2 linked regions of the Arabidopsis thaliana genome follow. The protein of the gene in region 1 interacts with the protein of each later gene in a pairwise test. Each region holds a gene or a part of one and is shown in the gene's direction. Other genes may lie near its edges. The genes, in order: AT4G15670 and TGA3.

Region 1 (6,793 bases):
CAACCATATGAGATTATTCTGGAGATATACCGTACGATCTCGAGTGTTCTACTTTTATTATGCTGATTATATGTCAATGGGTGGGGTTTAATTAAGGTTTTGAACCTATGTCAAATGTATATCTCGTTTTAGCAGCTTCATTACAAGTAACTTTCATCATAACTAGATATAGTTTATCCTATGTATTAAAAAAGGATCACAAAGCAGACATTTTTGTAAGCATCAAGTCATCAACACATAACTTATGTCCTAATCGAATTCTGCTAGTCAATACAATTATCATCCCATGCCGGCCTTAGATATAGTAAGATCCAATGGGTCCGAACTTTCCAATTAGAAAAACCAAACTATGAAGATCATGAGATATATCTCTTTTTGATAAAGAAAATATATGGCCGTACTATAGAGACATGACATGATTCGTCCGTATCAAGTATTCTTCACAGCTAAGAGATTTAATTTTTTTTGTACGTTTTATCGAATTAGTTTTATTCGTTAGCTGCAAGAGGCAAAGAGGCAAGAAGGTGTGAATCGATCTTAGCCTCAGATTCTTTAGGATACTCCCACTATATAAGTTTACATTATTTAAAATGTGTTCCTTATTTCGTGCTATAAAGTTGATTCTATAAAAAAAAGGTGCTACATCCAACGCATAATGTCATAGCTTTACGTACCTTAAAGCTGTATATATAGAGGACCCTTATTGACAATTATCTACATCAAACTGATCAACCACATAAGCTCAAAGTCATTTTTCATCTTCACCCAAAGATATTACAGTCTCCTTGATTGTCTCTAATTTTCCAATCTTTCATTTCTGATTTTGCATTGTAATCGAACATACCCACTAATATCCTTTGCAAGCCGCTTTTCAAACAACCTATTACATTATAACACCAATGGAGAAGATACAAAAGATGATCTCCGAGAAGTCGGTAGTAATATTTAGCAATAACTCTTGTTGCATGTCACACACAATCAAGACTCTCTTCTTAGACCTTGGCGTGAACCCGACAATCTATGAGCTAGACGAGATCAACAGAGGAAAAGAGATAGAGTATGCATTGGCTCAGCTTGGCTGCAGCCCGACTGTGCCAGTGGTGTTCATAGGAGGGCAGCTTGTTGGTGGAGCCAATCAAGTCATGAGTCTCCATCTCAACCGTTCTCTCATTCCAATGCTTAAACGCTTTGGGGCTTTATGGCTTTGATAAAATATAAAAGAATAGTTACTTATTGATCGTAGCTTGGTAATAATGATGTCATGAAACCAATCAAGGATGACAAAAAAAAAAAAAATGTATGCATGTAAGTTTTGAAAGGATAGATTGTGAGGATACCTATTTTGTAACGTGTGGGTATATTTTATAGTAAACAACCTAGTGTTGTATTTCTACTTGTCCATGCTTTTGGTTTTTAATATATATATACATGCTATTAAGAAATGGTACACATATTGTAGAGAAAAAGAAAGACTTTAATTTGACTTCTTTTCTCTCTTTATCAAAAAGCGAAAAAGCTTACTTTTGTTTCTGTTTTTTTTTTCTTATTCGGGGCGTCTCTCACGATGTCAAAGCTGCAAGAGAGAATATAAAAAAAAAAAACATGTATAATCTCAAAGTATAACTCATTGATCAAAGTCCATTCTCGTTTTAAACAAAGTGTAAGTCTAATCAGTATATTGATTGGTAAAAGACTTCTCTAACCCATATCTTTATTTTTTTTCACTTAAAAATAGAAGAACTCTATTTTAGAGTTAAATTTGAGTGCATTTTTTTCCAACCCTATTCTATTTCAAATTTTAAAATAGAGATCTAGTATAAATTTACAATATATATTTATAAATATATATATATATATATATTTCATTTAGAAATAGATTATAATTGGAGATATTTTGCTCTACAATAAAGTTTAGCGGAAAATATAAAAGTGGGAGTGGAGATGGTGTAAAATATCCTCCCTTTCTCTCTTTAGATTTTATTTTCGCAGTAAATCATAAATTTAAACCAAACGGTGAATCAGTCTACGTTAATTTGTATTACGATCCATAAGTAGTATAACACATTGATTAAAAAGAATTCACGACAATAACCTCTTTTCTGGAACTTGCACTCATACATATATATGTCTTGCCAGCAAGCTCTATGTGACAGATTGTATATTTGTCCGACTCATTTCCTGGACCGTTATTATTTGTTTTTACAGCCATTGCTTTTATGAAAACATAAAATAGATCAAGTAGGAGTGGTATTCGGCCCACGACTAAATCAAGAATGTTTTGAAAACCACTAAATAAAATAAATGGAAAAATTAAAGGAGAGAATAGGTGTTTGCATTATTGTATATAATGCACATTGTGTGGTGCCTTTTGTTTTCTTAGTTAAATAATGTGCATAATTTTGTTTATAAATAGATAAATTTTGGTAATTTTAAGAGTCAGTTTGGTGAATGACAAGATTTGAGATAAGTTTTAGATAAATGGCAATTGAAAAAATAAATTAAGTAAATGACAATAAAACAGTATATAGATGAAAGTTTCTTGTAAAAATAACATATTACATAAAACTAACTTATAGAGAACAAATTTGTAGCTATTAAATGAAATAAAAAGTCGGAGAAGTTTGTCGAATACTTTAAGGTAATCAAATGAACCTTACATTGATATTTTCTTTACTGTCTCTCCAATATTGTTTGTCATTGAGTGCAAGTACTACTACCATTTGAATTATATCCCACAAATCAATCAAATAAAAACATTAACATCATCTACAAGTAAAGTTTTCAATTTGTTTTCTTCATTTGTCATACTTGTAGGGGAGAAATTTAATTCGAAAAACTTTTTTTTTTCTTTCTTCTAAAGAAAAAAATGAAGAACTACGATGATAATTAGAAACTTCGAGGAAAGCAACTCGACGCAAAAAGAGGTTTGTTGTGGCATGGAAAATTTATGGCTGCTATTCTGGCTTTCTAAACTCGTAAATTTATTTGATGTTCTGCATTTTAAACCTTCTAAATAGTAAACAATATCTAACAATTTAACCAAATTGTTTTTTTTTTCAAATCAAATCATGCATACATTACAAATATAAAGATCTGGAATTAGATGCGATCATATGATCTGTGTTTTGTTCATAAGACATGTACGTGCTGTGAATATGATGACCTTGTATTTTTCATATATGATTAATAACGACTCTCCGCAACAATGTTGGGCCACCTTTTGATCCAGAAAAAAAAAAAAAAGTGGTTCCAGTTGAGCCTTATCATCATGGAATGAAATCGAGCTAGCGTTGTCAAGAATCATGCAAAGCGTACCTTTATTCCCAAAACGATTCATGACCAAAGTTTTTTGATAAAAACATATGTTTTGATGGCAAGTCAAGAGGCCACGTAATCCTCAAACACCAAAAAAAAGATAAAAGATTATTCTGGAATTATACAATCTCGAGTCTTCAAGAAGTAGAGCTTGTAATTTCTATCATGTTCATGTGTATACTGTATGTAGACTACTTTTGGCTCATAAAACGTTCATTAATTGACTTTTATTTCCACATGGTGTAAGGTTTTGTTTATCTTTTTAAAAACAAATCTTATAAATTATTATGTTTTGTCAATGAGTGTAGGCTTACTTACTATTAAACTTTCTAATTTAAAAAATTATGAAAACTATCTACCAGTTATGAAGCATCAACACTATTAAATTCCCTGAAAAGTGATAAAGTAATATATCTTTTGACAATGAACATATATGGCCGTACCATAGAGACATGGACATAAATTCGTCCGTATCAAATATTCTTCACAACTTAGAGATTTTGTTTTTTGTACGTTTTACCGAATTAGTTTTATTCTTTAGCTGCAAGAGGCAAAGAGTCAAGAAGGTGTGAACCGATCATAGCCGCAAATAAAATGTGCTCTTTATTTTATGCTATAAGTTTATTCTCTTAATAAGAGTTACATCGAACCCATAATATCATATCCTTACGTAGAATGTTATATATAGTACCCTTGTAGACACTTCTCTTCATCAAACTGATCAAACACATAAAAGTCAAAGTCACTTCTCATCTTCACCCAAAGATATCACAATCTCTTTAACGGTTCTCTAGTACCCCATTTTCATCCCTAATCTCGCATCTTGTAATCAAAACATAACCTATTTCATCCTCCTCAAGTCACTTTTCAAACACACTTTCAAATTAACAAAAATGGAGAAGCTACAGAAGATGACCTCGGAGAAGTCGTTAGTGATATTTAGCAAAAACTCATGCTGCATGTCGCACACAATCAAGACTCTCTTCTTAGACCTTGGCGTAAATCCGACGATTTATGAGCTAGATGAGATCAACAGAGGAAAAGAGATAGAGCAAGCATTGGCTCAGCTTGGCTGCAGCCCGACCGTGCCAGTGGTGTTCATAGGAGGGCAGCTTGTCGGTGGAGCCAATCAAGTCATGAGTCTCCATCTCAACCGTTCTCTCATTCCAATGCTTAAACGCGTTGGGGCGTTATGGCTTTGACAAAATATAAAGAAATAGTTACTTATTGATTGTAGATTGGTAATAATAATGTATTGAAACCAATCATATACATATGAATGTTTTGTGTCTATCTAAGTTTTGAAAGGATAGATTATGAGGCAGGGTACTGATTTCGTAACGTTCTTGGTATACTTAGTGTTGTATTTCTATTTTCAGTTTTTATGAATACAAACATGCATTTAAGAAAAGTGTATGCCATGGGTATTGGAAATTTACACATGTTAAAAATGAAGGACCAGAAAGTGTGAGTTACAAAAGATGTCACATTTGATGAAAGAAACTCTAACTCTTAATCGGAATATATCCGTTTATGGATGTTACTATATAGATTTGGGCGTCTCTAAACAAGAATTTTGTTACTATATAGTTGTGTTAGGTTTAGGAATTTCCATGTCACCAAATCGGCTAGTATGAAGTATTTTTGATCAAAAATATCATGCATGCATTTAAAAATATCGTATGTGCGGATATAAATATTCTAATTAAAATACGTACTCATTACTAACTTTAAGCCCCAATGCGCTTAATGCATAACATGTTCCAAACCATTTCTTCTTAATAAAATATATTATAAAAACAAATAATTATATCCTAATTAGAATGATATTGCCACACTCTCTCCCTCAAACTACTAAGGACCGCATACCCTTGGCTGTTCTTCCAGCAAAACAATCTTATACCATAGTCACCAAGAAACTCGCCGCTTAACCTTTGAATAAAGGGAAGTAGACTTCGACACAAGCTATCAACACTATTAATTATGATGTCACATTGAGTGCTCACAACAAAAATGCAAGACGTTCATCCATTTCTCTATGTTACGGATAATATTCTGACACTTATATACATTAAAAATATATATATATATATATATACATATAACCTTAGTGAAGCATATAACCTTAGTGAAACTCATAAATTAATTAATACAAATTGTAGGGAAAAAATAAGCTCACTTACTTTGACGAAATTTATAAAGTGTTCAAAGCACCAACAAGTTTTTAGGAGAAAAGTGAGATTTACCCAAAATTGCTGGACGTATATAATTAAAGTTACAGGATGGTGTGAAATAGTTCTGGGATTGGATGCGATGTGATTCGATAATATGTGTTTTTACATAAGACATGTATGGAATACGATTACTTTGTAATTTGTAGTATATGAATAAACGACTCTCCGGATCACAGTTGGGCCACATTCCATCGACAAATCGAGTTTTAACATAAACAAAAATATTGTTTCGTCCCATTGAGCCTTATCCTCATGGCATGAGATCGAATCTTTGCGACGTCAAGAATCAGACATAAATTATTCCCATATTGATTTATGATGAACAATTTGTGAGAATAAAGGAAGGTTTTTACTTGTAAGTGAAGAGGCCACGTAAACCGCACAATCAAAAAACGAAAAAGATGAAGAATAAGATTATTCTGGAGATATACCATACGATCTCGAGTCTTCGCCAAGGAAGGAGATGCAATTCTTTCTTTTTTTTTAGGAGATGCAATTTTTTTTATCGTGAGTAATATTGTATATTTCAATGGCAGCGATTTTAAGATTTTAAGTAGATCTTTTTTTTTGATAAGAAGGTTTCATTATACTATATGATAATTATCATGAAATTTACAACCCGATGAATATTGGTAAAATTACATATACGTGTAATATTTGGTAACCAAAAAGAAAATTCACATGTAAAACATCACAGTAAATAATTATAAGTAACTATGTGATAGGAGACAAAAATGTATTTGTGTTGAAAATATATCTCTTTTGATTGAAACTGGAAATAGAAGGCCAAGACTAATATGACATGATTCGTACGTATAAGATATTCCTCACATCTAAGAGATTTTGTTTTCTGTACGTTTTACCTAATTAGTTGATAGTTTTATTCTTTAGCTGCAAGTGGTAAAGAGTCAAGAACGTGTGAGCTCCTCAAATTGTACTCCCACTATCTTAGTTTTCATTATTTTTTAATAGGTTCTTTATTTTCGTGTTATAAAGTTGATTCGCTGAAAAGTGCTATCTCAAACCGACATCAAGAAAGCTATATATAAAGGACCCTTAGAGACCCTTCACTACATCAAAAACAAACTCTAAGTCATCTCTTATATATCGTCAGCCAAAGACTTCAAGTTCTCTAGCTTACCAATTTCACCCCTTTTCTCTCATTTCAATAAAAAAAACTACCCATTTCATCCTCGGCGAGTCGCTCTTCGAACACATTTCACATTATAATACCAATGGATAAG
Region 2 (8,855 bases), on another chromosome or scaffold:
CCCACTATTTGTGTACATATAATAGCTGTCAAAACAATGTACGTATAATAAGTGGGAAACAGAGAAAATAAATTCAACTAAAATGGACCCACAAATTTGATCTATATATTCATCCCAATCCCTCACTCTTAAATTTCCAAACCACACTCACCTTTCACCAACTTCTTTTTACATTTTACCACCTATTGTCTCTATTTGCATCTCTTTTCATAATTACCATCATATTTTTCTCCTGTAAACTTTTTGATAACATGTCACTAGACGGATCGGGACTAGGAGGGATGGCTATAGCGGAGGTTTACACGATGAGGAAGTTTCATAGAGAGAACATGAAGAGTATAACGGCAACCGCGGCCACAACCGCTGGTGGAATCGAAGAGAACGGTGGAGGATCTGGTCGATGGTTCTTTGGAAAGCTGAGCACCAAGAAAAACTCTGCTAAAGTTTGTGATCTTATGATTACAGAATAAGCTATAATGGCGCGTCCAAAATTAATCAAATAATTATAATGAATAAAAACGTTAGAATTTTCTTTTGCCCTTTTTGTTTGCTTTATGTTTAATATGTAGTGTTTATCGTTTGAATTTATTTTATGATTTTTTTTTTTCTTTGGGTTTTAAGCAAGTATTTAGATTGGATGTTTTATAAAGCTATAAGAGTTTCTAAATCCCTGCTACATATGTAACGATTATATAGTCATGAACTCATGATGAGTTATTTTTAAGCATAATAAGTTTAATTAGGACCAAACACACATAAATAAGGAATTTAAGGGCTGGAGTTACAATATATGCCAATTTATTCTCAGACCAGCATCTCTCCTTCCCGTGGCAAATCCAGAGGGTCACGCAACTATCTGAATTAAGTATAGATAAGTATAGTATCTAATCTATCTATATGGGTGACATCAGAATTTGATGCAAATTGGAATAGCCAAATGTGATGGACAAATTAGATTATTTAGAAATACATTTTTTAAATAACTAAGAGTATCTGGCCCTAAACTCATACATCTTTTCAGACGAGTATCATAATTGTTTGTTAAATGTAAATTATTGAATCTAGTACCAGGTTTTTAAATCAATGAACGGCCGTTTAATAGTTTACAAGAAGAATGTTCGGCTAATCTACTAGATTTATATAGTAAAATAGATTTTTATAAAAACTAAAAAGCAAGTAAATGGTAAAACTAGTACCAAATTAAATATATAACGCCGTTAATATATTTCCTAATTAACTAATCAAAATGGCCAAAACATTATAGTATATGTGGCGACCAATATGCGACCTCCTGTTCAAAAAATCAAACGTACTAGTGGTGTACAAAATAATATTTTGAAATCTTCATTATGAAACGTGAAATCGTCAGGATTTTATAGATTTTGTTTTCCTCTAATAAATTTTTCTAAGAGCCTAATTATTGTCAAATATTTTGTAATGTTGGCGTAATTTTAATTATTTTTAATAATTGAAAATATATTTTGTAGATTCAAACAATTTAGGATATAGTTGAATGAAGTTGACAAGTTGATGCATGCAAAGAAGTAAGAAGAATGACATTCTTGTATGCGAAAATGATTATTTTCAATTAGTGACTGATATCTTTTGCAAGTCTAAAATAAATATAATATATTTTATTAACAATTCGTGAAAAGTCTTTTTATTTGATGGCAAAATACTACATGGTTGTTCTTTTTTTTTGTTGCAACCATGTAATGATTAATGGTGATATTGTTGGTTGGTTGGTAGTCGAATGTTATATGGTTATTATTTTTTTGGTTGCAACCATGTAGTGATTGATAGTGATACTGTTGGTTTGCTACATGGTTACTCCTTCTTTGGTTCCAACCATGTAGTGGTGGTTGATGGTGATATTGTTTGTTGGTAGTCGAATGCTACATGGTTGCTCCCTCTTTGGTTGCAACCATGTAGTGGTTGATGGTGATATTGTTCAGTCGATCATAAAATATATGATGCATGAAGAATATAAATTATTGAATTGTTTTTCCTTGCTAAAAAGTTAATAAAAAACAATTTATCCTAAATACTCTTATTTTTTTGTAATTATGTTGTTAAAGGGTCTAAATTTTTATATATCCTTTTATCTTATATAAATATATATATATATATATATATATATATTATTTTATTGTTTATATATATGTAAGTAAATGATTGTGTATAAACAAAATTAATACTGAAAAAGACTAATTTTTAAAATTTGTACCAAAATTCCAGTTCTATTGAGCCGGTTTTGGGTGTATATATAATAATATATTATAATATATAATAATATATTATAATATATCGTGTATTAAAATTTAAAGGTTTATTACGAAATTTTAGACTTAAGATTGAATTCTATCATCTAGATTATTAAAGTTAAATAACTTATTATGATCTATTATTTTTATCATTGTAGACACTCTTTTAAGTGGTAAAGTTTAGGTCTAAAATCTATACATGTTATATAACAAAATAAAGAAAACACCAAAATTATTAGGGTTAACGAAAATAATATGTGACGTTACAGAAAAGAAACTTGCGCATTTTTAAAAAAAAAAAGTTGTACAAGGCGAGAAGCCTTAAAAAGCGGCACAGAGACTTCTGTAGATTTTTTCTCACGTGCACTTGCCATGTGTTGAATATTCGACAAATTTTATGGGCTTTACTCTAAGCCCAACTTTTCCTCTTTAGGCCTTTCTGCGCTGTTGCGTCAAAAAGACAAAAACTTAATAGATTTAAGAAAATCAAAATGATTCATTTTAGTTTCGGTATTTATCCTTTTGCATGTCATTGATCAATACGTTTTGAATCATATTTATAAAGATTGAAAACTATAGTATATGAAATCTTTATTAAAGCCAAACCAAAAGCCCCACTTATTTTACGTATTTGTCTCTGTCGAAACGCAGATTTTATCAGACAAGTGGCACCAAACTAACTAAAGAATCAATATTGTATTAGGCAAAAGAAGAAAAAGATAACAAAATTAATCATTTTCTTAGAGTTGGGTAGGTCACTAGAGGCCCAATTATTACTCACTAAGCTAAGGAGGAGTACTTAAGTTAAAAGATGCCACTGCATAGCACTGAGACCCTCCAAATAAAGCGAATAAAAATTAATAAATTGATTAAAAGTATTAATCTTCCACTCTTGTCCCACAAAATGCGACCTAATTTCTTGGAAAAGTTTATTCAATTTCTGAATAACAAATAATTCACAGTTATTCAAATATTTATACAAATAAATTATCAGCTATATTTAAAATCGTTACTAAAAAATATATTTAACCAATCGGTAGTAATCTCGTGGTACAAATATCAATTATCCATTTTCAGATCAAATCATTACTATAACTATTTTAATTTAAAAACTATATATATATATATATATTATATATCAACTTTTTATAATGTGAATCATAAGTCGACTATTAAGTTTTGATATATGATATTGTATGTTTTTTTCTAACAAAATCATAAACAAATCACATCTTATATATATGAGATTCAGATTCTCTATGTTAAAAAATAAAAATTACCGGAATATTCCCCTCAAGCATCTGACGTGTCGGCCGACGATGAAGAATCCAGGTCATCAAAAGGTGTAGTTTAGAAACAGAGGCGCACGATAAGGTCAACTTTTGGAATAGAGGAAAAGACTCAACCTTTTTTATCATCTCTCTCGATTTGTTTTTCTCCCGGTGGTGATGCTTTTGTCGTTTCATCGTTCGTTTACTTCAACTTGCTTATTATTCTACGCTCATGGACTAATCAAAGCCATGAGGAAAAAAAAAAAAGCAACAACACAAAATATATGTATAAAAAAATAAATATCTCTGCTTTTTTTTTTCAATGATGGGTACGCTTCACCTCTAAGTTTTGACCAAAGTTTTTCTTCATTTCTCTCTTCTCTCTTGTGGTCACCGTTTGATCGGAATATTCCTTTTAGAATGCCAAGATTCATTCTTCATCTCTCGAGCTCCTCATGAATTTCTTCTCTGCTTATCAATGGAGGTTGGTTTTTGTTTCTCATGTTATCTTTTCTTGCTTTGTGAAGTCCTTAAATTTTCCAATTTTGGTTTTTAGTTGTTGCAACTTTCTAGTTTCATGGGTATTACTCTATTTGGCTATGTTTCTTCAAAAGGCTCTGTTTTGGAGAGCTGGGTTTTCTAAAGTTTCAACCTTTATTGCTAAAACTGAAACTATAACTACTTGTTTATTGTGTGTGTTAGTAAGCAATGCAATTTTAGAGATATGGACTGGATCTATATATCTATTGAAAGCTGAGCTAGAGAATCTGTTTCTTGAATTCAATAAGCTTGAGTCTGTAAATTGTTGATTTACAGATGATGAGCTCTTCTTCTTCTACTACTCAAGTTGTATCATTCAGAGACATGGGGATGTATGAACCATTTCAACAGTTATCTGGTTGGGAGAGTCCTTTCAAATCAGATATCAACAATATTACTAGTAATCAGAATAACAATCAGAGTTCTTCAACAACACTTGAGGTTGATGCTAGACCAGAAGCAGATGATAACAATAGAGTGAGTTATTGTTTATTCCTGGATCATGCTTTAGAATGATTTATAAGTGTTGTTTGTTTGGTGATTGATGGTTAATTATGTTGCAGGTGAATTATACTTCTGTGTATAATAACTCTCTTGAAGCAGAACCGTCGAGTAATAATGATCAGGACGAAGACCGGATCAATGATAAGGTAAGGCTTTAGCATTTTAAGGCTACTTATACCTTTTGCTTCGAAGACTTCATAAACTCCTCCTTCTCCATTTTAATCTTTAGAGGAAGAGACACGGCGTGATGACATGAATTGTTGTTCCTTCTCTATGAACAGATGAAACGGCGTTTGGCTCAGAACCGAGAAGCTGCTCGCAAAAGTCGTTTGAGAAAGAAGGTAACCTTGGTGGGATTTTTTCTTGTGTTAATGATAAAAAGGAAAGCTTATGCAAAGTTGTGTCTGTGCTTGTAGGCCCATGTTCAACAGTTAGAAGAAAGCCGGTTGAAGTTGTCACAGCTCGAGCAGGAACTTGTAAGAGCTAGGCAGCAGGTTAGCTCAAGCTTGTTTATTTGTTGTGTGTTCATCAAACTTTATCTGATTCATTCTGACTCAGTGATTCTTCTGGTTTGTATTAGGGATTATGCGTACGCAATTCTTCAGATACTAGTTATCTAGGACCAGCTGGGAATATGAACTCAGGTTGGTGTTTATATCACTAAATAAGCATATGTTAGCATTGCTTTATCTCTTAATCCTCAGTAGATAAAGAAGTAATTTTCCCAATAATAACCATTTTCAGGTATTGCTGCATTTGAGATGGAATACACACACTGGCTAGAAGAGCAAAACAGGAGAGTTAGTGAGATTCGAACAGCGCTCCAAGCTCATATAGGTGACATTGAGCTCAAAATGTTGGTAGATAGTTGCTTGAACCACTACGCAAATCTCTTCCGCATGAAAGCTGATGCTGCAAAGGCTGATGTGTTCTTCTTGATGTCGGGAATGTGGCGAACTTCAACTGAACGCTTCTTCCAATGGATTGGAGGTTTCCGCCCATCCGAGCTTTTAAATGTAAACTTCTTTTTTACTTTTACACGTTTCTCTTTCTACTCTTGAGAAAAAATGCTCAACCTTTTTTGTTGTCTAGGTTGTGATGCCATACGTTGAGCCCTTAACCGATCAGCAACTGTTGGAGGTGCGTAACCTGCAACAGTCGTCTCAGCAAGCAGAGGAGGCTCTCTCTCAAGGCTTAGATAAACTTCAGCAGGGTTTGGTCGAAAGCATAGCAATTCAGATAAAAGTTGTTGAGTCTGTGAATCACGGGGCTCCAATGGCTTCAGCCATGGAGAATCTTCAAGCATTGGAGAGTTTTGTGAACCAGGTAACGCTAAGTGTATTTGCTTTGTGCTTTTGCAGTCTCCATGAATCCAAAGTTTATTTTCATTTTTGATTAGAAACTTTGTGAGCATGGATTTCACAAACAAAATCTCTGACAATATTGGAACAGGCGGATCATCTGAGACAACAGACCCTGCAGCAAATGAGTAAGATATTGACGACAAGACAGGCTGCTCGAGGGTTGCTCGCTCTAGGAGAATACTTCCACAGGCTGCGTGCTCTTAGTTCTCTCTGGGCAGCTCGTCCACGAGAACACACTTGACAAGTTAGGAGGCAAACAAAACAAAGAGAAAGAAGCACAAGGCAGATGATGTTAGCTATAGGGACTTGCTTTATCTCTCAGAAAGTGTTGGCTGATATTTTCTCCATTAGAGAGCATCATCTTCCTCATTGATGATTTTGTTTACTTGAAAGGAATAAGAGATGTGTAAATTTGGGTGGAAAACATGTAATGTCTTTGATGCATTAGGCTCTTTATTTGTAAAATATATAGGGTTTGTTGTCACTCATCTCCTCGTATATGAAAATTTGAGCCCACAATCAAATTTTTTGTCTATATTGTTATTCCAACAGTTCTTAGCTTATATTTGTTGTTGGTATAAATTGGTCAATAGACAAACAATAAATTCAAATAGATTCATAGAGAGTTTGATCATTCCCTTCATTCAAATTGTGCCTAAAATGAATATCCTACGGGTCTCAGCCAAAAAAGCCCACACCGAGGAAAGATAAAGACAAGAGTTAAAGGTAACACATGTTTCTTCCCTTTTGTGATACAAATGGGGTAAAAAGGGTTAGTTCTCTTTCTTTCTTTATCTCTCCTGTAAAATTCAAATCTTCTTCACTAGCCATCCTGGAAAAAAGAAGTAAAAAGACATAAGAATAGACCAAGAAATCAACTTCCAAATGTGAAGAACACAAGACTCATATGGAAAAGGCAGCAGAGTACTTCATGTAAACAAGAAAGTATCCATGACCCGGTTTACTACTACTTCCTTGTTACAAAATACAAGCTAGGAGGATGAAATATTACAGTCTCGTGCTTCTTAAAGAGAAAGGATTATTTACCTCTGGCATGGAACTGCTTGGGCCACCAAGTGATAAGGCATTGTGGCTATTACTTGAGCCCATAGAGTGTCCATAGAAGTCGGTACTTCTGCAAGCAAGCATGATCAGTTGGTAAGTATGGTATAAATAGTTTGGGAAAAGAAATCACTAGTAACAGAATACCTAGCATCTGAATGTTCCATCTTTGAAGCTACATCAGAGGTCTCTCCTGCGTTGTTGCTCAAAGGGCTTGATCCAAAGCTTAGTTGCGAGCATTCTTCTGTAGAGATTGGCAAATTATCTGAAGTTACAACAGCAGGTTTATCGTCTTCATGAGATGCTTCTTGATCATGACTATTTGTATCTCTTGTCTGCAAAAGAAGATAAAACCATACGACAAAGCCAAAGTTCCAGTAAAACAAAAATGACAACTAGCTTAAACCAGAAGTCATTTGATTCCTGTAAAACATCAAGAGTCAGGAACTACATGAGGACAGCTAGTGATACAGAGTTTGAGGACAGTAACAACTCCTCAGGTATGACAGATTTCCTAATTCATAAGATGAAATTAATGTTAAAAGATAGAGAGCCAGAAGCTTCAGAAATCTGTCATCTTACATTTATCAACTGCCTGACTTGGCCATGAAGACTTGCGACGTCATCATCATCTAGGTTAGAGTGCAATTTAGAACTGCTGCGCGCCACTCTGCAACCAAAACACAGCAATGAAAGAGTCGCAACACTGAGCATTGTTCAACTCTGTGACAGTCTGATCAATTTACCTTTGACGACGACGCTTTTTAGATCTTTTTGGTTCATCTTGTTGCTCCTGTTTCCTCTTAAGGTTTGCCCTTGGAGCTTCATCCATTAGTGGGCAATTAAAATCCGAAAGAAGATGGCGTGGTGTTGAGGAGGGCCGAAGCATATCTTTATCATTATCCTGAGCACCAACCACCATGTACATCACTTCCAGGGAAACCCATACATACCCACCAACACCAATTTTTGGGCCGTTGCTCAGCTTGCACAACGCCACCTGTTCGCGGTTAATCACATCTACCTTGACAATCACCACGTCATGAAACCCCGTGAATTGAGTATTCTCTTCTAATGGGCCACGGTAGATGTGCTGCACAACAATTTATATATGTTAGCTAAGAAAGTAAGACCTAATCAAATACTACACTGCTTAAATTATTCTTACTTCTCCAATACGCCACAACTCAGGGAAAGTAATTAAAGCTGCACCAACAGGCTGAATGTGAAGGTGGGCTAAAGCCTTGTCCAAAGTGTCGAAACTAAGGACAGACTTTATCTTGTGCTTTCTCTTATGAGCACTTGGAGGATAACGACGGCATTTATACTGACGAAACTGTGGGATCTCTTTTGGGATCCCTTCTCTTTCAATATGTTCCAAGGCTTCAGCAATTGAATTACCGTAGCACACATGTCCCTTTTCCGCATGTTTATCCTTGCCGAGCATCTCTGGTTCAACATGGTTGCTTAGGTACCAAGCACACAGTGGAATATATGTATCTTCCCAGTGGCGGATAATCCTTATGGCACTGGTTAGATCGGAAGAAGCGTACGCCTAACAATTGATGTGCCTGAGCTGATCTCGAATAAAACCAGCAATCACGATCCATGACGAGCTTTTCAAAAGCTCAGCGAATGCCTAAACAAGACAAACAACAAAAGTTCTGATATTTTGGAAAATTATGGACATGTTAAAGTTTAAGTATTAGATTCTGTACCGGTCTTGCAACTCTCCAGCACAAGAAAGCAACGCGACCATCATCTGAAAGGTGGAAAGGACCTCTTCGGGCTGTTCTTCTTGCTTGTTGAACATACCAATCAGTCAGGATCAAACACAGATTTCCAGGCTG

The links.
Region 2: the proteins of AT4G15670 (region 1) and TGA3 interact in binary tests that used the Arabidopsis thaliana proteins (3 or more experiments, as listed by UniProt).

The regions. Positions count from the first base shown.
Region 1 is NC_003075.7:8,925,029-8,931,821, forward strand, and holds AT4G15670 (Thioredoxin superfamily protein), read left to right. Parts: upstream 1-4,002; 5' UTR 4,003-4,208; coding exon 4,209-4,517; 3' UTR 4,518-4,785; downstream 4,786-6,793. Other genes in the region: AT4G15660 (Thioredoxin superfamily protein), read left to right, coding at 900-1,208; AT4G15680 (Thioredoxin superfamily protein), read left to right, coding at 6,785-6,793. UniProt on the Arabidopsis thaliana protein: May only reduce GSH-thiol disulfides, but not protein disulfides.
Region 2 is NC_003070.9:7,785,638-7,794,492, forward strand, and holds TGA3 (transcription factor TGA3), read left to right. Parts: upstream 1-3,495; 5' UTR 3,496-4,013; coding exon 4,014-4,019; intron 4,020-4,351; coding exon 4,352-4,552; intron 4,553-4,638; coding exon 4,639-4,725; intron 4,726-4,860; coding exon 4,861-4,920; intron 4,921-4,995; coding exon 4,996-5,073; intron 5,074-5,159; coding exon 5,160-5,223; intron 5,224-5,323; coding exon 5,324-5,595; intron 5,596-5,671; coding exon 5,672-5,905; intron 5,906-6,031; coding exon 6,032-6,184; 3' UTR 6,185-6,502; downstream 6,503-8,855. Other genes in the region: AT1G22065 (uncharacterized protein), read left to right, coding at 252-470; AT1G22080 (Cysteine proteinases superfamily protein), read right to left, coding at 6,767-6,775, 6,991-7,078, 7,153-7,340, 7,588-7,675, 7,752-8,098, 8,174-8,452.